4 linked regions of the Arabidopsis thaliana genome follow. The protein of the gene in region 4 interacts with the protein of the main gene of each other region in a pairwise test. Each region holds a gene or a part of one and is shown on either strand. Other genes may lie near its edges. The genes, in order: AT3G16180, AT3G46370, AT1G52550 and DHAR1.

What was found.
Region 1: the proteins of DHAR1 (region 4) and AT3G16180 interact in a protein complementation assay, tested with the Arabidopsis thaliana proteins (one large-scale study listed by BioGRID).
Region 2: the proteins of DHAR1 (region 4) and AT3G46370 interact in a protein complementation assay, tested with the Arabidopsis thaliana proteins (one large-scale study listed by BioGRID).
Region 3: the proteins of DHAR1 (region 4) and AT1G52550 interact in a protein complementation assay, tested with the Arabidopsis thaliana proteins (one large-scale study listed by BioGRID).

What each region holds. Positions count from the first base shown.
Region 1 is NC_003074.8:5,480,776-5,486,919, forward strand, and holds AT3G16180 (Major facilitator superfamily protein), read right to left. Parts: upstream 4,413-6,144; 5' UTR 4,169-4,412; coding exon 4,066-4,168; intron 3,980-4,065; coding exon 3,762-3,979; intron 3,756-3,761; exon of another isoform or gene 2,242-3,755; intron 2,234-2,241; coding exon 1,677-2,233; intron 1,600-1,676; coding exon 702-1,599; 3' UTR 550-701; downstream 1-549. Other genes in the region: AT3G16175 (Thioesterase superfamily protein), read left to right, coding at 1-130, 263-433. UniProt on the Arabidopsis thaliana protein: Low-affinity nitrate transporter involved in xylem-to-phloem transfer for redistributing nitrate into developing leaves. Not involved in dipeptides transport.
Region 2 is NC_003074.8:17,049,898-17,056,031, reverse strand, and holds AT3G46370 (Leucine-rich repeat protein kinase family protein), read right to left. Parts: upstream 4,513-6,134; 5' UTR 4,078-4,512; coding exon 3,719-4,077; intron 3,634-3,718; coding exon 3,158-3,633; intron 3,064-3,157; coding exon 2,919-3,063; intron 2,817-2,918; coding exon 2,745-2,816; intron 2,672-2,744; coding exon 2,600-2,671; intron 2,518-2,599; coding exon 2,440-2,517; intron 2,344-2,439; coding exon 2,171-2,343; intron 2,052-2,170; coding exon 1,834-2,051; intron 1,715-1,833; coding exon 1,588-1,714; intron 1,473-1,587; coding exon 1,407-1,472; intron 1,231-1,406; coding exon 1,041-1,230; intron 924-1,040; coding exon 518-923; downstream 1-517.
Region 3 is NC_003070.9:19,572,243-19,575,726, forward strand, and holds AT1G52550 (uncharacterized protein), read right to left. Parts: upstream 1,818-3,484; 5' UTR 1,758-1,817; coding exon 1,514-1,757; intron 1,095-1,513; coding exon 943-1,094; 3' UTR 513-942; downstream 1-512. Other genes in the region: AT1G52560 (HSP20-like chaperones superfamily protein), read right to left, coding at 2,541-2,959, 3,245-3,484.
Region 4 is NC_003070.9:6,772,760-6,776,156, reverse strand, and holds DHAR1 (dehydroascorbate reductase), read left to right. Parts: upstream 1-1,633; 5' UTR 1,634-1,743; coding exon 1,744-1,801; intron 1,802-1,925; coding exon 1,926-2,016; intron 2,017-2,202; coding exon 2,203-2,695; 3' UTR 2,696-2,855; downstream 2,856-3,397. Other genes in the region: GAMMA CA1 (gamma carbonic anhydrase 1), read right to left, coding at 17-142, 708-851, 1,106-1,220; AT1G19565 (uncharacterized protein), read left to right, coding at 3,026-3,078, 3,187-3,278. UniProt on the Arabidopsis thaliana protein: Displays a dual function. As a soluble protein, exhibits glutathione-dependent thiol transferase and dehydroascorbate (DHA) reductase activities. Key component of the ascorbate recycling system.

The sequences.
Region 1 (6,144 bases), on a different chromosome or scaffold from region 4:
AAGTTGGAATGCGGGAGTGATTACGGCGGTGATGGACTCGATCGGAGCGTCAGCTGTGTACTCCTCCGGCGGCGGACTCCATATCTCTGTTGATCTCAACTCTTCGTTTTATTCAACGGCCAAGATTCACGTTCGCTTTCCCTATCCTCATTTTTCTCTCGTTTTTTTTGTTATGAAACATGCAAACTACTAAATTAGGTAAATTACTATTATTAGTAATGATTAGAAGTAATAATGATAAGAAAAAACTACAAAATTGCAGGAAACGGTAGAGATAGAAGCAAGAGTGAATGGAAGCAATGGAGGATTAAAATCAGCTGTGATTGAGATTAGAAGAGAAACAAGTGGAGAAATTATAGCCACAGGAAGATTGTGGATGGCTCCACTTAGCGTCAAAGCCATACAAAATGTTTCTACTCTTAGTAAGCTTTGATTTTTTCTTAATTTAAGTGATTCAATTTCCCAAAGTCAAAAACACCACAAATCACCATTTTGAAAATTTGATTCTCTTCAATCAAATATCATACACACAATGTTTTTTTTTTTTTTGTAATAATTAAATAAACACACGACCCATTAATTAACATCAACCTCTACATCCTAAGAAAATCCAAATCCATGATATAATAATCTAATTACATACAAATATATAGAATTTTATAACACACGTACACCATTTAATTATGATCAACCAATTGGTCTTAGTTTAATTTAATAACTTCCTCTTCTTCTTTTCTCATACCATTAACCTTATCATTCCTCACCTGATCCACCGTAGGACCATAGGACCAGCTACACACAACGTAGTAGATGACATTAACGAAGCTCAAGATCGCTAAAACCCAATAGTAATAGTCATAGTGACCCTTGTTGATGTTATCTTCAATCCAGCTCACATTGCCCTGCTTTGAGCTATTCTTTACCGCATTTAGGATCACACTAGCCAAGATATTAGCCACTGCCATTCCTAGACCGAACAACGAAGCTGCGATACTCGACATGCTTTTAGGAAACTCGGTATAGAAAAACTCGGTCTGTCCTATCCCGGTCAAGGCCTCTGCTAAACCGTGTAGTACATACTGTGGTACAAGCCACATTGCTGAGATGCTCACTGTTGAGTTGGCATCGTTTGCGAGTCCTTGGCTTATCGCGGTTTTCCTTCTGTAATGTTCAACAGTTGCGGAAACCGCCATTGCTAAGAATGATATGAATAGCCCTAATCCCATTCGAATCTTGACATTGACTCTAACTGGTCTGCCTCGGATCTTTGAAGCTAAAGGGAGAATTGCGCGGTCGTACAGAACAACCCATGAGATTAAGGCTATGATTGTGAACATACCAAACGATCCAGCTGGGATTTGGAAGGTCGAATTGCTGCTTAAACGTCTGTCCATTGATTTAGCTTGAAGCAACTGAAAAGAGTTCTGGCTAACGTTTATCGACATCATTATCCCCGTGGACCATACCGGTATCACCTTGACCAACGCCTTGAGTTTCTCAACTTGGTCCGTTGTGCATAGCCTCCACTGGTTTAAGGCCAAACCATCAGAACCAAGGTCTTCATCGCGGTTACTTATGGCACAAGCTTTGTTTAAAAACCTAAGCAATTGCAAGAAAGTATCAATAAATAAAAAAACTAACCAAGAACTATATATGTGAAACTGATTTCACTTTACCTCAATTTGTCACTTGGAGCTTTGAGTTCAGAATCTTTCAAACGGTAATAACAATCTCTGGAGTCATGATGATCCGGCAAAGTTAAGTTTCTCTTCACGTAAGCTGCAGCAACCACTTGAGCTAAACCAGTGAACAGACTCTTGCTCACATCGCGCTTAACGTAGAGAGGAGACGCGAAAACAAACAAGAAACCCGCGAGCAGCATGAGAATCGCGGGTATTCCAAACCCGATTTTCCATCCTAGATGATCTTGAATGTAAACAATGACGGTGAAAGCGATCAAGACAGCAACTGATGAAGAAGCGTAGTACCAACCAAAGAAACTCTCAAGAACTCTCTCGTTCTTAGGATTCTCTTTGTTGTCCAATTGATCAGCACCAAAGGCTAAAGAACATGGCCTGATTCCTCCTGATCCAATCGATATTAATGCGAATGCGGTATACAAGAGAGCCAATTGAGAAGATGTCGCGGAACTGCAGTTGGTTCCGGCTGTTGCTACACACGGTGATGGTTTTACTTGCGGCAACATCGCCGTTAGCCATAGAACCACCATCCCCTGTAACATTTTTGATTCAGACAAATTTATTAAAACAATGTAGTAGGTTAGATTTTGACGTTTTTGTTTTTCATAATAAAAATGTAGTTATCACTTCATTCGTAAAATCTGTAGATGTCTTCCAAAAAAAGTACTTCCAAGAACAAGAATCCAAGTATTAGATCAGAATCTACACGTACGTCAATTGTCACATCCATCATACGAAAACATTATTTTCTTACGGAAAATGATTGATACTCGAGATGAATGATTGATGTAGAGATTTCAAAATCAATTGATGTCACTATGTATATGATAAGTTTTTTTTTCCAAGTGGGTGAAATAATAAGTTTGATCAAGAATGGGACAAGTAGTACAAAAACATGGGTCACCAATCGATATTGCTTTCATGTCTAACACTTATATGTTGGCCAAAAAACTAATGTCAAATCCTTAAATGGTGGCAAAATGTAGGTCCACGTCAGCTTGACCCATATATTTGGACATATAAATAATGAAACTCTAAGTCTACATACAACAAAAAGTAATAACAAAATGATATTTTTTATACATAGAGAGATGCAAGCAGTGTGGTCACTCACAATCACACAAGTTGCCAGAGAAAGCCCACAAGACCATAACCACAAGGAAAGCAACAAACAAGATTTTAAGGAATTAATAATGATATTAAATACTTTATGATTATTTAAGACCTGTTATTATATAAACTCACATGGACATTTCAGAACACCTGGCTTCGAATTTAATTTTACCGACTTTTATATTTTTGATGGACACAAATATTAAAAACAAATCAAAGCGGGTTTAGTTTCTCCATTCATTGGACAGCAATTTCAGGGAAGCACATGCAACATGTGAAAATTTTGACTCTTAATGGAAAAAGGCTTCTAAAAAGCTTAATCATATCAACTCTTAAATTAGAAATTTCACTGTAGATGATTATCATTAGATATTATAGTACTTAAAGCAGAAATATACAGCTATCAATGATTTAGCAAAACCAACGGTAAAAAGTTATAAAATTTTAGTAAAAACCCCTGAAATTTACCATACCAATCTTTTTTTTACTATTTCGAGAATATAAAATAATTAAATAATTACATACAAAACCTCGTACCATTTAATTCTTGGCCCTTAATTCTATGACTTGGTTAGATTTTATGGAATTCTCTTTTTGTTGTCGACGCAAGTAAAGTCAAGTCCAATTATCGAAAACTATCAAACCGGAATTTAACTCCAATTATCAATGCATGTAAGTAAGGTCCAATTGTCTAAAGCCAAGTAATAAAACACTGAATACAAGCACGATATTTCACCCAAATCAACTTAAACCGAAACTTTCGGTTTAGATTCCCAATTTTAATAAAACTCAACCTTTACTGACAGTAAACATAAACAAAGCATTTCCAAACCAAAGGCTAACTAGGTGGTGAAAAATGTTGAGTCAAAGAAGTGGCTAAAAAATTGAACCGGAGTAAACCGGGAGAAAGAAGAAGCGTAAACCGGTTAAATAGGGGACGGAAATTACCAGGAGACTGGAGAGAGAAGCAATGACAATGGTGAGAAAGCGACCCAAATATGAATCTGAGAGAAAAGCTCCAACGAGAGGCATGAAATTAGTAGCAGCAACCCACATGAACAAGACAGTTTGTCCTTTAACAAGTCCCAATCTGTAATCACTCATCAGATAAAGAATCATGTTCTGTAATAATCCATAGCTCGCCACTTTCTCGAACCCCTCGTTTGCTTCACCGAGTAACAAACAAGATGAGATAAAATTAGTAACAAGATTTGGGTTTTTGTCTAAAAAAGTGAGAGAGATCGTTTGTTACCAATGATGAAGGGCATAGTGAGAAGACCACCCTTTGTTCTTCTTCTTGTAATGGGTTGTTGAAGAGTCTCCTTTGACTCTGTTTGATCCGGAGGGTTCTCCATTGTTGTTACCTTTCAAGCTTCGAGAGAGGGGAAGAGAGAAAAGTGAAAAAGAGAAGAGAAGGAGGAGAAGATCTTTGTCTTTGTGAGAGTTTTGAGTTAATGCGATCTTATTTTTCAGTTCAGACAGCGAGGAATCTCTGTTTTCTGCGACGAGTGAGCAATAATAAATGGCTGTTATTTAAATACTACATTTTCTTTTTCCCTCAAGGCAAATTGTTTTTTAATTTTTTAATTTTATTAATTAATTTATCATAATGATTTTTATAGAGTGAGGTTTTATCCTATATGGCACACGACAATTTTCATTCTTAGTTAGAACTTAGAAATGATTTGTTAGTAGTATGAAAGAAAAAAAGTTAGATAAAACGTCATTTTCCTAATCTTAGCTAAATACAAGTTGAAACATAAATGCCAGAAATATTCGTTTTTTTGTGAAGAAAATATCTAAAATGGAGAAGATTAACTTACATAGATATTTCAAAAAGAAGAGAAAAGAAAAAAACAGTACATTGTACATCAAACTTCCAATGTTCCATCATCCATGTTACTTACGTCAAACATAAAATGGTCTGGTGTTATTGACTTATTTTTGAAATAAATCCAATTTATTATTATTTATGTACATTTCAAATTAGTTAAATATGTTAATGTTATATACTTCGAAACCATAACTATTCTATAGATTTTTTGATGAAATAGTTGTTGGAAGTGAATTTGCAATGTAGAAGAATCAATCACAAGAATTTCAATATTGTATTATCTTCTAAAGATGTCTTCTAATCAGACTTAAACTCTTAAAAAGTTTATGAGAGCTTCAACTATATCATTATACTGTAACTAAACATGTAAATGGCTTTCCACAAATCACATCCAATTATCGAAAGGAACGGATCAAAAATCATAACAAAAGTTTACTAATAATTGAGAATGGAAAACATCCCATGAGGTTAACAGCTTTTGTTTTGGCTCTCTCTCTTCCTCTTTTCTTGACAAATTGAAACTTTTTGTTATTCAATTCTTTTTTTTCAGTTTAAAGTTAAAAAATGGATTCATTAAAGTAAGTGCAATCATATATAAAGTTTTTTTTAATTCGCTTTCTCCTTATCACACTAATAAGTCAACATCTCAAAGAGTCGGCCCAAAGAATATAATAAAATAATAGCATACGAAAGTTTACCAAACCCATGTAACAATTGACCTCATGAATAATAGTTTATGTTTTAACAAAAATATGAATAATAGTATATGTTTAACTGTATAATTTTCTATGTATCTAAGAAGTTTCGGACTTTACGATGTATAGTAACTTCGACCAAGAGATTAAATTAGTAGTTTTCCCTGCTAATGTCGACTTTAAGACGAACCCCATCTTATAAAGTTACTCGTATCTAATCGGTTAAACTATCCATTCCAAATTAACAATTATATTTTCTTATGTGACTTAATCCAAATAATGAATGCAAAGAAAACTAACATTCATTATTCACAAAACATTATATATTGCTAAACAATATCATACTGTTAGATTCTGAGGATATAAACTACTGTATCAAAATACTTATCACTAATTTGTGATTCTATATCCTACAGGCTATATATCATTATACGCTAAGTAATTACGTTTCCAAGTTAAATGATACAAGTATTTGAAAGTTTCTGCCTAAACCAGATTATAAGTAAAGTACTTATGTTCAGTACAAAATTAAAAATGGTGCAACCAGATTTGAATGAAAAAGTTCGTACAAAATTAAGTGCGGTGTCTGATGATGGCAGAAGACTCGCTAGTAGGAACCAAAAATGAAATTTCATTATCCAAAAATTTATTTGTGGTCTTTCATGCATCCACATGAACAGTTTCAATACCAAATACCTAATTTAGTTTTTAAAAAAAATCGTAATTAATCAATACATCAAGAATTCAACATTAGATTATCCTGCTATTAAAAAAATCTCTTAAAATAATTTCTTAGAACATT
Region 2 (6,134 bases), on a different chromosome or scaffold from region 4:
TCGATAACATCCCACAACTTCCTTGTTTTCAAGATGGTTATCATCTTGATTTTTCAAAAGCCATACGATTCACCATTGAAGATTGGAATAACTTGCTGCATTGTTGTCTCCATAGCTCTGATACCATGTAGAACTTTGAACTCTCAAAGTTGTTAAGGATCGGTCAACACAGATTTTACTCTGTTTTGTCTTACTCTATATTTCACTTTGTTTTTATAAAACGAAAACCACACACTTTTATTAGATATACAAACTGTATTTATAGGTTTATATGACACACTTTCACTAAGGAACACGTCTCTAGAAGACAACGTAATGTAGAGACACATACACACATGTAATTGTTTTGTAGTTAACAATTATATTCGTATCTCTTCGATGTGTGATACGAATATACATTAATCAGTTACTTAACTATATAATATATGACTCTTCTAAAACAATAAAGTAAGATGATGCATGACTTGATCACTTCCAACAGAAACACATCAACGTAGGCAAAGCGTCTATGTAAATACTACCTTGCACAAGGGACCGCCTCAGTATCACTCGAGCTCAGTTCCAGAGAACCATCATTGTCCGTGTCATTTTTCTTTATTTTCATTGAGTTTTCAGTATTTAAACACTCTTTTAGATCGATAACAACCTGGGACATGATTGGTCGATGTTCTGAAGAAGGGTTGGCGCATGACATAGCCAATTCAAGAGCTCTCCAAACTGAACGAGAGTTATATTCACCGTCAAGGTTAGGATCAACAATCCTAGTAACATCTCCTCCCTTAAGCACAAGTCCTACCCATTCTGTAATGTGAGCCTTTTCGCGGGCATGGTCAATCACATTTTGGTTTGTGATTATCTCTAGTAGTAAAATACCGAAACTGTATACATCACTCATCTCAGCCAACCGACATGTTCTATAATATCTGGAAAACAAAGAGATGAAGTAGGATTTATATGTATACCTCTATATAAACGATGAAGATGAATGTAGACATAAATTACACACATATTTATCATGGGAGTGAACTAATAGTACTTACTCGGGATCAAGGTATCCAAGAGTACCAGCAACAACCGTGGAAGCCTGTGATTCTTCTCCGAGTTTGAATGATCTTGAAAGCCCAAAATCAGCAATTTTGGCCATGAGCTGATCATCCAGCAGTATATTGGTACTTTTGACATCTCTATGCACTATCGATGGTCGACATCCATAATGCAAGTATTCCAATCCTGTGCAGGAGACTCATTCATGTTGTTAGTTGATCATGTCAGAAATTCCAGTGAGTAAAAATTGATGGAAATAATTCATCATGAGAAGTTTGTAACAGATGTATCAAATGCATACAATTAGTAACTAATTGATATAAAATGACAAGTCACTGGAACTGTTTTGAGTTAGTACGAACCTAGCGCAGCATCGACAGCTATTCGTAGTCTAGTACTCCATTTCAAAACAGCGTTACCCTTTTTTCCTGTATTAGATTGTCAAAATTAACCGTCCTATGAATTTTATATAATATATATATATATATATATATATATATATATATATATATATATTTATATTTGCATATATACATCTTTCACCTGACAAATGATCTTTTAAGTCTCCATTGGACATGCATTCGTAGATGAGGGCCAAGTGATTTCTTTCATCGCAATATCCAACAAGACTCACCAAATTTATGTGGTGAACTCTTAAAAGAAGTTCGACCTATAGACCAACAATGACAAAATATGTTTGCTTAACGTGATGCTAAATATATATCTATATAGATCATGATTTCTTTTAAATTTTGTGCGATTCTATAGACGATTTATGGCATATCATACCTCTGCCTTGAAGTGTTTATAGCCCTGTGATGATGATTGCGAGAGTACTTTAACCGCTACTTGCTCTGAACCATTCAAATTACCATAATACACGGTTCCGAACCCTCCTTCACCTAGAGTTTTTTGGAAGTTTTTTGTCATTTCCACAACTTCAGAATAGGTAAACCTTCTCCTTTTCGTCTCAATCGATTCTTCAGATATAGCAGCTGACGTAATACCTATTTGTGGCATAACAAGAAAAGGGGATAGATATATGTAGAGAAACAACAATATCAGTGACATTTTAATTTATATTGTATAGTTTGTTAGTTAATATTTGGTGAGTCTATGCAAATACCTAAACTTGATTTCTTTTTCTTTCTGAACAGAAAAATGAGAATCATTACCACTGCAATGACCACAACCGCAGAAACCGCTAATGCAACAATCATCAATGGGAATTTCATTTTTGGGACACATGAACCGGATAAACACTTATTATCATCGCCCTTATCATCATCGCCATCAACACTACAAAAATAATATATCGATCTTTTAGTGTTTTGATGAATTTAACAAGGCAATGGATCTTGAATTAAAATGTGCGTGGATGAATTTCCTTCTTACAATAATTGTAGTCCTTTCTTTTTTCTATCAAGTAGAGTCTTTGGTATTGAACCATTCAGTTTGTTCTTCCTCAAGTCTCTGTTAAAACCAGAGAAATCTACATACTTAGGTGAAGATGATCCATGGGAAAAAAACCACCAAAACCTTTTGGGAAACTTACATGAACAGCAACGATTTCATGTTAGCTAGAAATTCGGGCACTACTCCTGTCAAATTGTTATTTGACAAGTCCCTGAAGTTTGTAAGAAATCAATAAGAAAGGTAACGGACGTATATAACATTTTTCTTTAAATGGTCATACTTACAGCTTTTGCAGTTTGGTCAGATTTTGAATTCCAGTTGCTATGTTTCCTGTTAACCCACTTGAAGACAAGTTTCTGTGTATAAGTCCAAACAAGAAGAAAAATAAACAAGTATAAGTTTAGTTAGACAAGTTTTTCTCACAAGTCTAAAGAGTGATTGTGTTATAGAGGTCTTACAGGGAAATGATTCTTGGTGGGGTAGATACATTCGTGTCAATGCAACTTAGACCGGCCCACGAAAACAGTTGAGGGACGCATGGATCTCCTTGCCAGGAGGTTCTATTCAATCTGTGTGTGTCTTTGATCTTTGTTATAGCAATTACTGTCATAAAATTTCCCGACAAACAGGTTAATTGGATTTAGACCACATTCCCCATACAATACTTAACTACCATTAAGAAGAAGAAAAAAAGTACCATCATCATCGTTTGTCTCAGACTGTGGAAAATTCATCACTGTGAAAACTTCAATGGCGTTAAGGAGAGGCGGGAGAGTTGATTTCTGAGTTCTTTCAAGCTCTAATAAGCATTTCCCTACTTCACAAAGAGATGGTGACGGGTTGTACACAGTGGCGGCACCAAGATAGTCAGGGATAAAATCTGGGTAAATAACCATTCCGTTCCACAAAATGCTGAACTCTCTACTCTGGTTGGCCTGTAAGACTTGGACCTCAGAGAAGTGGAAGTACAGGTAAAGTTCATCATGAGGGAACTCAAGATTCTCGGTAAAACTCAATCGTGCACTAGTATTCACAGGTATTGCGGCGGTCATGAGCACATCCTGTGGCAGAAGATAACCATTGGAGCTGTTCACTTTGAGATTGGTAGAAATTTGCTTCCATTCCGTCTCAAAATGTGGAACCCACATCCGATCGTAGAAATCATTTGGGTACCTGAGCTTCAACACAATCTTGTATTATTAACAATGGACGATGGAACGAGTCAAAAAACCTTAATATCAATTTAATGGTGACGTACCTTATAACTTCTGTTGATTCGCTTAGGAATGCCCTCAGTGTCGACTTCAAAGAACCTGATATTGCGTTGTAACTATACTTTGGTAGAGACCTTAGTTCCAAGGTCGATATAATTGGCGTTGTTGTACCTGTTTTGATAAGACACACATCTAGAGAGTTTGACTTTGGGATATGAATAATCTCCTTCCATGTATCACCATTTACATGCTTCCCCAAATCTATTGTTACCCAGAAGTTAGGGCCTAAGTACAAATCAAATCTAGGAGGTTCGTTACGACCATCGTAATTTCCATAGTTACTTGTAACCCTAATCAAATACTTTGTTTCTTTATGCACACTAAGATTGTAACAGTTTCGCATTCCGTCTGGAAAGTATCTCAACGTTGTCTGTGACTTTGGGTACTTCCACTCCACACTTGCATCAATTTTACCAATTTGTCCACTTTGGATGACACTTGAATCTGATAAGAACTGTAATCCAGTTTCCTCATTATAAGGAGACTGTTCATCCGGCGATAACCCACAATCAAAACTGATGAACCCTGTTTAAAGAGATAAATAAAAAGGTTAATAGTAATTAAACCAAAAATAAAATGAAAAAATCAGAACTGATGGTATCAAATTTTTTCTCGTCTCTTTTCTTCTATCTCAAAAGGAAAAAGAGAGATACCATTAAACCAGCGACCAGGTTCAACCCATTGAACTCATAAATTCAAGGTCAAACTTCTAGTATTACTAGATAAACTTCTAGATAGGAGTATTGAGATTTATCCAGATTGACTAAAATCTTAGCATAAATGACAAATGACTCCTAATCCAAGTAAATAACTATAATACAAACCCGAATTTTATGTAGAAAGACTAACTAACTTTTAATCACGTTTTTAATTAAATTCCTTTTAAATAAATAAATAAAGAATTTTGATATTTAAACTTAACAAATCTGTTGGATCTAGTAAAAATGTGTCGTAACCAAATGCAATCAAACTAGTGTAAACATACAATCAAAACGGTAAGATTTGGAGTTGTGTTGTACTTTAGTTTTACTAGAGGCTATATAATAAGTCTCATGAAACTAGATGTATCAAAATTTTAAAAACAAATCTGCTAACGAAAAGTCCGTCATCACTAAAAAAATTATTCTAGTCATAATTAAATCGGGCATAATATGATATGAGAAAATATGTTATGCTTTGGATCCGAAAAATATAAATAGCATGATTAAAAACAAATCTGTTATTCATTATGTGAATCGAAAATGCCAGATTTATAGACTAGTTTATAAAGTATGTGATTACATAAAACAAATCTATCCTCATTATAAATCATTTCTTTGGTTTATTTTTTTTTATTAAACGGTATTTTTTTGTTTAAATAAAACAAGATGTTGCCAACACAATAAAAAAATTGCTGCTCAAAAACAAATATGTGGCAGGTATCTTACACAACCATTCAAGATATTAAAGTTTTAGAAAAAAAATCTAGGGAGACTACATAAAACAAATCTGTCCCGAAAAAAAATCATCAAGATGCTTCAAATATTCAAAGAAGTTTGTGGTACAAAAAAGCCTGTCAAACAAAATCTATGGTGGACCAAAAAATATGTGGTCCAAAACAAAATTGTCGCAACCAGAGCAACAAATTTATCAAAATCTAGTAAAAAGACAGAGTAGCAATATCGTAAATAAATTTTAGTTTTTTTAAAAATAAATGTTTTTATTAATGGCATTCTTATAATATTATTTTATTCTACAAAGCAAAACAAGGGCATTTTAGACATAAATATTACACATATAACCCATATTTTTGGCATGTCATTCTAGTAATAAAACACAAAATATAGGTCACTATGATAAATTTCCTTAAATTATATGGAGTAAATTTGTAGATATTATTATCGAAATATCTAATATTTCAAATTAAAAACGAAAGTAGTTTAATTGTAAAACAATCTAGCTCTTAAGTTGTTGATACCATTTAACTTTTAAGGATTAGTGTCTTCATGATGATTGAGAAAAGGAAGAACTAGAAAAAGTTCTTAAAATAACTGAACATTGAATACACTAAACTCCTATATTTTATTCCAAAAAACAAAAAATTAAATGAATTTTGTTAAATTCAAACCCGGTCGGTTGAACCGGTTCACCAGATCACGAGTTAATGGCAGATTTTTGTGGTTGTTTTTTGGTATTAAAATTACAAGATGTTAACACTAAACCATGGAGAGGTGTCCGGATCGCGGGTTAACCGATCGGACCGCACGATTTCTGGATCGGGCGTGAAAACACTCTTATTAATATAAACTATATTTGCCATATTACAAGTATAACTAGTTTGTTTTGTTCGGTTTTGATACTCGCGGTGGTTATTTCAGTCCATCGAATTAACCGTTTATGTTTTATTTGATTTCGTATTGT
Region 3 (3,484 bases), about 13 Mb from region 4:
ATTTCATCAAAAGGTATTGTTTTTTGAATTTCAAAGATTTCCTTTTCATGGCCTGTTGATGACACATGACAACTAATCAAAGTTTCCTAATCACACACCTCACCTTGGTGAATCTGTACTTACAAAATCTTGCAATTTTTAATACATACAAAAGTTCAAATACTAGTTTTTTTTATTGTGTATGAAGAAGATCTCTAGATATGGAAATTTATTTGCTATAATCAGAACAAATATAAATTAAACATAGCATAAAATCTTAATTTAGATAGATTGTTAAATTACTCAGTGTGGTCAGAACAAAATGTTAGGCTCTTATCATAAATTTCTGTTTCTAAACTTACTACCAGCCTTTAACCAAAACAGGTCCAACTAATCATGAGCTGGTTAATTCATTGTCCCAGTATTGAATAAGGTTTACCTAAATCCAGTTATTTCTTTTTTCATATCATGAATAAACAACCACTGTTTTAAATATAAATCAAATAATAATTAAATACAACTTTGGAAATATTATATTATATAGAGAGGCCCAATAAAAGAGTATGTTGAAGCCCAAACAAGTTATATAACATATCTAAAGGCCCATTTTATACAACAAACATTCAAATCAAAGAAACGGTGCGGTTTACCGTTTGGCTGAATCAAGCACACACCAAACACATCTAGTCATTTACAATCTGAAACAGCTTTCAATAAACAATGATATTGATTTGGCATTTTGACTTAAATGCAAACTACTTTAGTTTCATCACAGTAGAGTAATCTCTATAGCTCTAAGCTAGAGATATCGTAAGAAGAGAACAATCTAGTTTCTAGTATAAAACTGTAGTCTGACAAGAAATTTGCTTTACTTGGAAGAATATTTCCTCTGTATATATACACAAACGTGTAGAGGAGTTTTCATCAATCATCATCATCATCACCACACCAATCTAACTAATACTATTTGAAGCGTGAACCCTTCTTCCCTTTACCATTACCTTTGCTGCCTCTTCCTTGTAAAGCCGAAGCCCAAAAGAAGAGAGAGATCCAAATTAGTACTGAAAGAAAGATCTTTACACGGTCTTGAATCATCGACGCTACTCCCACAAGACCTACACAAAATGTGATACCAAACAACAACTATGAATCCAAATTGTTAAGAAGATTGCTCTCGTATTGCAACCAATGACTAAACCTGTAGGGAAAAGAAAATGGTGGAACTTTTGGAAGACATTCACAAGTTGTAAAAGGAGGAGATTTATAAATCCTTAATGCTTAACAAGAGTAAAAGTCTATAAATTGTCACAAAGATCAAAACTTTAGCAATGAACAGTAATCGATCTTGAGGACTAAGATTAACATCTTTATCTACGAATCAATAGCAGTTAAACCACCTTCATTCTCCTAATTCGAATTCCGTAATGCAATTTCATCGAATTAGGAAAGATTGAAAAATAGAATTGGCAGTAAACAAAATCAGAACTCAGAGTTGAAACATTGAAGTTTTAAGGGTAAGAAGGGAAAGACGAACTTGTGAGCTCAGTCGTGTTTTTAGGCGGAGGTGGGTCGGGACTAGGCGGCGTTGGAGGGCCGAGAGGAGCGACCGCGATGCGTCGTACAGGTTTTGGAGTGGGGACGAGGAAAAGGGTCTGAGAAGGAAGTGGAGACGACCGGAACGGTGAAAAGAACGACGGAGATGGAAGAGGATGGTTTTTACGGCAGCGATGGAGGTAAAGGTTGGAGCTTGAAGTCGTGTTGGCAAACGCCGTCGCCATTTTCTTCACAAGGTATTTTGGACCTTGTTTTGTTTTCTCATTATTTTAATTTTAATTTATGTATACATTATCAAAAAAATGTTTTTGGTTTTTTCCTTCTTAATACCAAACTAAAAGAAGGAAAATGAAATATTTTCTATAATTTTCCACAAACTATTGAAATATCATGCATTTTTGTTTAACATAAATATTGTGTTTTCTTGACGACAAAAAAAAAAAATATTGTGTTTTCTTTAAAGAAACTGAACTCTGACAATACACTAAAATACTGTACTTATTAATAAATAAATAATTTAATGTATAACATAACTTGTCTATAAAGAAAAATATTTCATAGTATAGTATAGCAAATCCACAATTATTAATACAAAATTTACAAATAAAATTTTGATATGAGGTACAAAAATGGACTTCTTGTTTAATATATCAACATTTTTGTGTTCATGACGTGAATTAGCAATTTACTCCATTGAGCCATTCGCATAGAAAACATAAAAGGGACACAACATTTGCTGCTTCTTTTAATTAATTTTGGCTTCTTTCTTTTGCGAAAATTAACTATGCTGAATAACAATTTATTCCATTCTCATTACAAACACAAAACTGGTTCATTCTTTGCTTGTTCAATTAGTCTATAATGTATTTTCTAGCTTCTTTTGTTTGCGCAAATGAACTAAGTTAATTAGCAACTTAATAACTGATTCCATTCGCATAAACATAAAAAAGGTACAACATTAATTTGCTTAGTCCATCAAAGAACACAAAAACGACACCGTATCTCTTCTACTCAACAGAAATCTCCTGAACATTCTTCTTTGGCTTCTCCGTCCTAGGAATCACAAGATTAAGCACACCATTCTTGAGCTCCGCCTTAATGTCCTCAACCTTAGCATCATCAGGCAACGATAAGCTCGTGTTGTAGTAACCATAACTCTTTGAAGACCAGTACTCGTCTTCCTCAGGTGAGCCTTTCTCTTCCTCCGCCTTGTGATCTCCTTTAATCGTCAAGATTCCATCATTTACCGTGATCTTCACGTCTTCTTTGGTTAGCCCTGGAACCTCGTATCTGAGCTTGTAACAGTCGTCTTGCTCTTTCACTTGACCCATTAGTTGGAATGGATTCACGTTGAAGTTGTCGAAAATTCTGTTCATATTCTCTGTTGCTTGTATCAGAGTATTTCCTATAGTCGGAGGAAAGAACTCTGTTTTAAGAAGAAGAAAAAATTCAATTCAAGCAAAAATAGAGGTTTACATTAATTATGTTTCATGAGATTTAATGCAATGAAAATGTAAATTTAAAATTTGATGTATTTTTATGATTCTAGAATTTCAAATTTTCTTCTTAATTTTTCTTTTATGGGATATATTTTACACTTAAATGTTGAATTTTTTTTATATAATTTATTTCGAAAATATTATTATTGTGACACTATTGAAATTTTCTGCTAAATAGGTATATCAATAATGAACTAAAATGACAAACGTACCATTTAGGGTGGGAGTGAAGTAGCCATGATCGTCGGTGTTACGCCAGAGGCTTTTTCGGCCACGTCTCCGGGGGAAATTCTGTCGAGGAGATTTCTTCTCAGACACACTCACTTCTGTGTTCATCTTATCCTCTTGTTCACCAGCCGAAGTAGCCATGAATCTGTTTAGCTTCATTGGATTATGTCGATTTCCGACCAAACCTCTTTCACAAGATTGACCCATCAAACTAGGAGACAGTT
Region 4 (3,397 bases):
AGAGATTCCCACTAACCAATGGTTACATTGTCTCCAATTATGGTTGGGTGCACCTTCCCGCTTAAGTTTGATTTTGCCACATGCACAAGTGAGTTGTCCTGAATATTAGTTCCTGACCCAACACTTACGGTGTTCACATCGCCTGCGCAGAAAAAAAGAGAGAAAGCAAGTTTAGATTGTATGTTATCCCAGTTTCCTGGTAAAGTACTAACAGGCTTAGCCATACAGTACCAATGTGTTATGACATGAAAGCATTCTGTAAAAAGGACAACCCTATTTCATCACCATTAAATAAAAATCCAGACTAGCCAACTCATACTCGCAATAAGGATTCAACTCAAACTCAATAATCTGTATATGATATCGTTCAACTAATTCTGGTGTTATGACATGAAAGCATTCTGTATATGATTGGGGATATCATATACCCAATCACCCATTAGAGCAACTGCCAGTATCATCAAGATACGATATGTAGTAATGATCTGTTTAAGATCCTTCAATAAAGCTAGAAAGCTCCATTTTGAGTAGTAGTCTTGTTCATCGCTTAACCAGAAGAGTAAAAAACAGATATTCGTTCACTATTTTCTATCGTAAGAGTTGACACAGCTAAGGATACAGAAGTAGATACTATTTCAAACAAAACTTCAGTCACTAAAATAGTCAACCACCAAACACCAAACATTGAGGCTTAGTAGCTAGCTCACCTCGTAATACGCATCCATACCAAATGGACGATCCTCTTCCAATGTGAACGTCCCCAATAACTGAGGCGCTTGGTGCCACAAAAGCTTCCTTGTCCACAATCGGAGCCTTATCAAATACATTCATCAGTGTCCGATGCCTTGACACTACACAGAGAAAACCACAATTACATATAAGCAAATTTCGTGACCAGGAAACAAAAAAAAAACTAAGCAGCAAAACACATTCCACATCAATTAATCCCTTGTGCCATTCGAATCCAGAATCGCTATACCTACAAAGACATCAATTCCAGATCTCTAACCTAACCAGAATAGGTGAGCTGAATTACCCAATCGAAACTCCTCACTCTTTACGAATTCGAAATCGGAGTGAAAAATAGAGTTACGCAGAATCTTACGTTGTTCTCGGAAGTAATTTTTGCCTTGAAGGCGACAACCGAGGCGATCAAGAGCTTGACCAGTCTCACGGATCCAAAAACCGACCGAGTAAAATGCTCTGCCTAGGGTTCCCATTGATCGTCACTTTCTTCGAGCTCACAGGTAAACGAGGACTCAACACTGAATGAAGAAGACGAAAATGGTCGAAGCTGAAGAAGAGACGGAAGAAAAAAAATCAGCGAAAATGGATTTCAACAGGAACATTCCGGGACGGCGAAACAATAAATTACAGTTACAGTGGTTTAATATGGTTTAATCGAACCAAAACAATACGAAATATGAACCAAATCTAATTCGATATTTCAGGTAGTAGTTTCATTAAACCGATTATATTATTCGGTACGAATTTATTACTATATTTTCACTAAATTGAACGGTCCAAAACCTGCCGACCAAAAATCAAATGGCCCTATCAGTAACAATGTCGTTTCGTATCGTCGTCACTTGCAACGCATAACACGTGAGAAAAGATAAACATCGGGTAAAAATGGCCCACTGGTGGGTGGAGAATGGTAATAATTCAGTTTAAAAGCTAAGCCTTCTCACTGATTAACTCAATCATTCATCCGTCTCTGCAAACAAAGGAAGAAGAATCAAGATGGCTCTGGAAATCTGTGTGAAAGCTGCTGTTGGTGCTCCTGATCATCTCGGCGACTGTAACCATCTTCTCTTTCTCTCTCTGTTTTTGTTTTGCATTAAGCTTTTGATTTTGCAATTCTTAATTTCTGAGCTTTGATCGTTGGTAAATTTACTAATTTAAGTGTTTGTTTGTCGTTTTAGGTCCGTTCAGCCAACGGGCTCTTCTCACACTCGAGGAGAAGAGTCTTACCTACAAAATCCATCTGATTAACCTCTCTGACAAACCCCAGTGGTCAGTTTCTCTCACGCCTAAACCCTTAAGATCGGTCTAGTTTGAACTTGTTTAGCCATAATCTCTGAAATTTTACTTGTAACTGGTACGAGCTTTGTGTTAACCGGAAATTGGATTGGCTTCATGTGCGAGCATTGTGTTAACCGGAACTTGAAATTGGTGGCTTTGGTTTTATATATGATGCAGGTTCTTGGACATTAGTCCTCAAGGGAAAGTACCAGTGCTTAAGATCGACGACAAGTGGGTGACTGATTCCGACGTCATCGTTGGTATACTCGAGGAGAAGTATCCTGATCCACCACTCAAGACTCCTGCTGAATTTGCCTCTGTTGGATCCAACATTTTTGGTACTTTTGGGACATTCTTGAAGAGCAAAGACTCCAATGACGGATCTGAACATGCCTTGCTTGTTGAGCTAGAAGCTTTGGAAAACCATCTTAAGAGTCACGATGGCCCTTTTATCGCCGGAGAAAGAGTTTCCGCAGTGGATCTAAGCTTAGCACCAAAGCTTTACCACCTTCAAGTTGCTCTTGGCCATTTCAAAAGCTGGTCTGTCCCTGAGAGCTTTCCCCATGTCCATAACTACATGAAGACTCTGTTCTCGCTCGACTCTTTTGAGAAAACTAAGACCGAGGAAAAGTATGTGATCTCTGGATGGGCTCCCAAGGTTAACCCTTGAAACTATGCACCGTTATGAGATCGTTGGTGTGGTAATGTTGTTCAAGGTCTCTCTCTTATATCAGTCAAATAATGTACTTGGACCTTTTTATGTAATGTACTGTATCAATCAAATAAGAAGCCTATTTTGAAATAAGATTTGCCTCCATATCGAAACTCGGATAAACACTGGCTACACGTAACATAAGGGACAAGGGTTTTTTCAGACAAATTATTTAAGAAACTCATCGACAGTACTTGTGTACTTGACCTCAGGATAAAGCTCAGAAGTCTTAACTCCAAAAGAAGGATCTATAGTCAAGGAGGTAAAGTCGCTCTTCGCAAGGACCGTATGGATCAAACCCACAAAAAAATCCATTGGAGGCTGGGTCTCTGCAAATGCAAGTGACTCGTTTAATACTTTGGAGTTTGGACTGATGAATATTGGATATCAGAAACTGTTTTTATGGTTTAACTGATCACCTTTGATGGTTTTGAGGAGTTCTTCCTCAGAAACATAAGTCTTGTCGAGACTCGAGAGTCTTACCGATCTTTACATCCCACAAATCAACCATATCGTTCTGCGATACAATGTTCTTGGGCGGGTGAATGTAGGGTTGGGTGAGATTTTCCAAGAATGTTCCTGGGAGAAGGCAGTTATAGTCGCACCGTCAGCAGTCGTAAGGTAATCGGATTTTATTGTGGATGACCAGCGATTTTCATG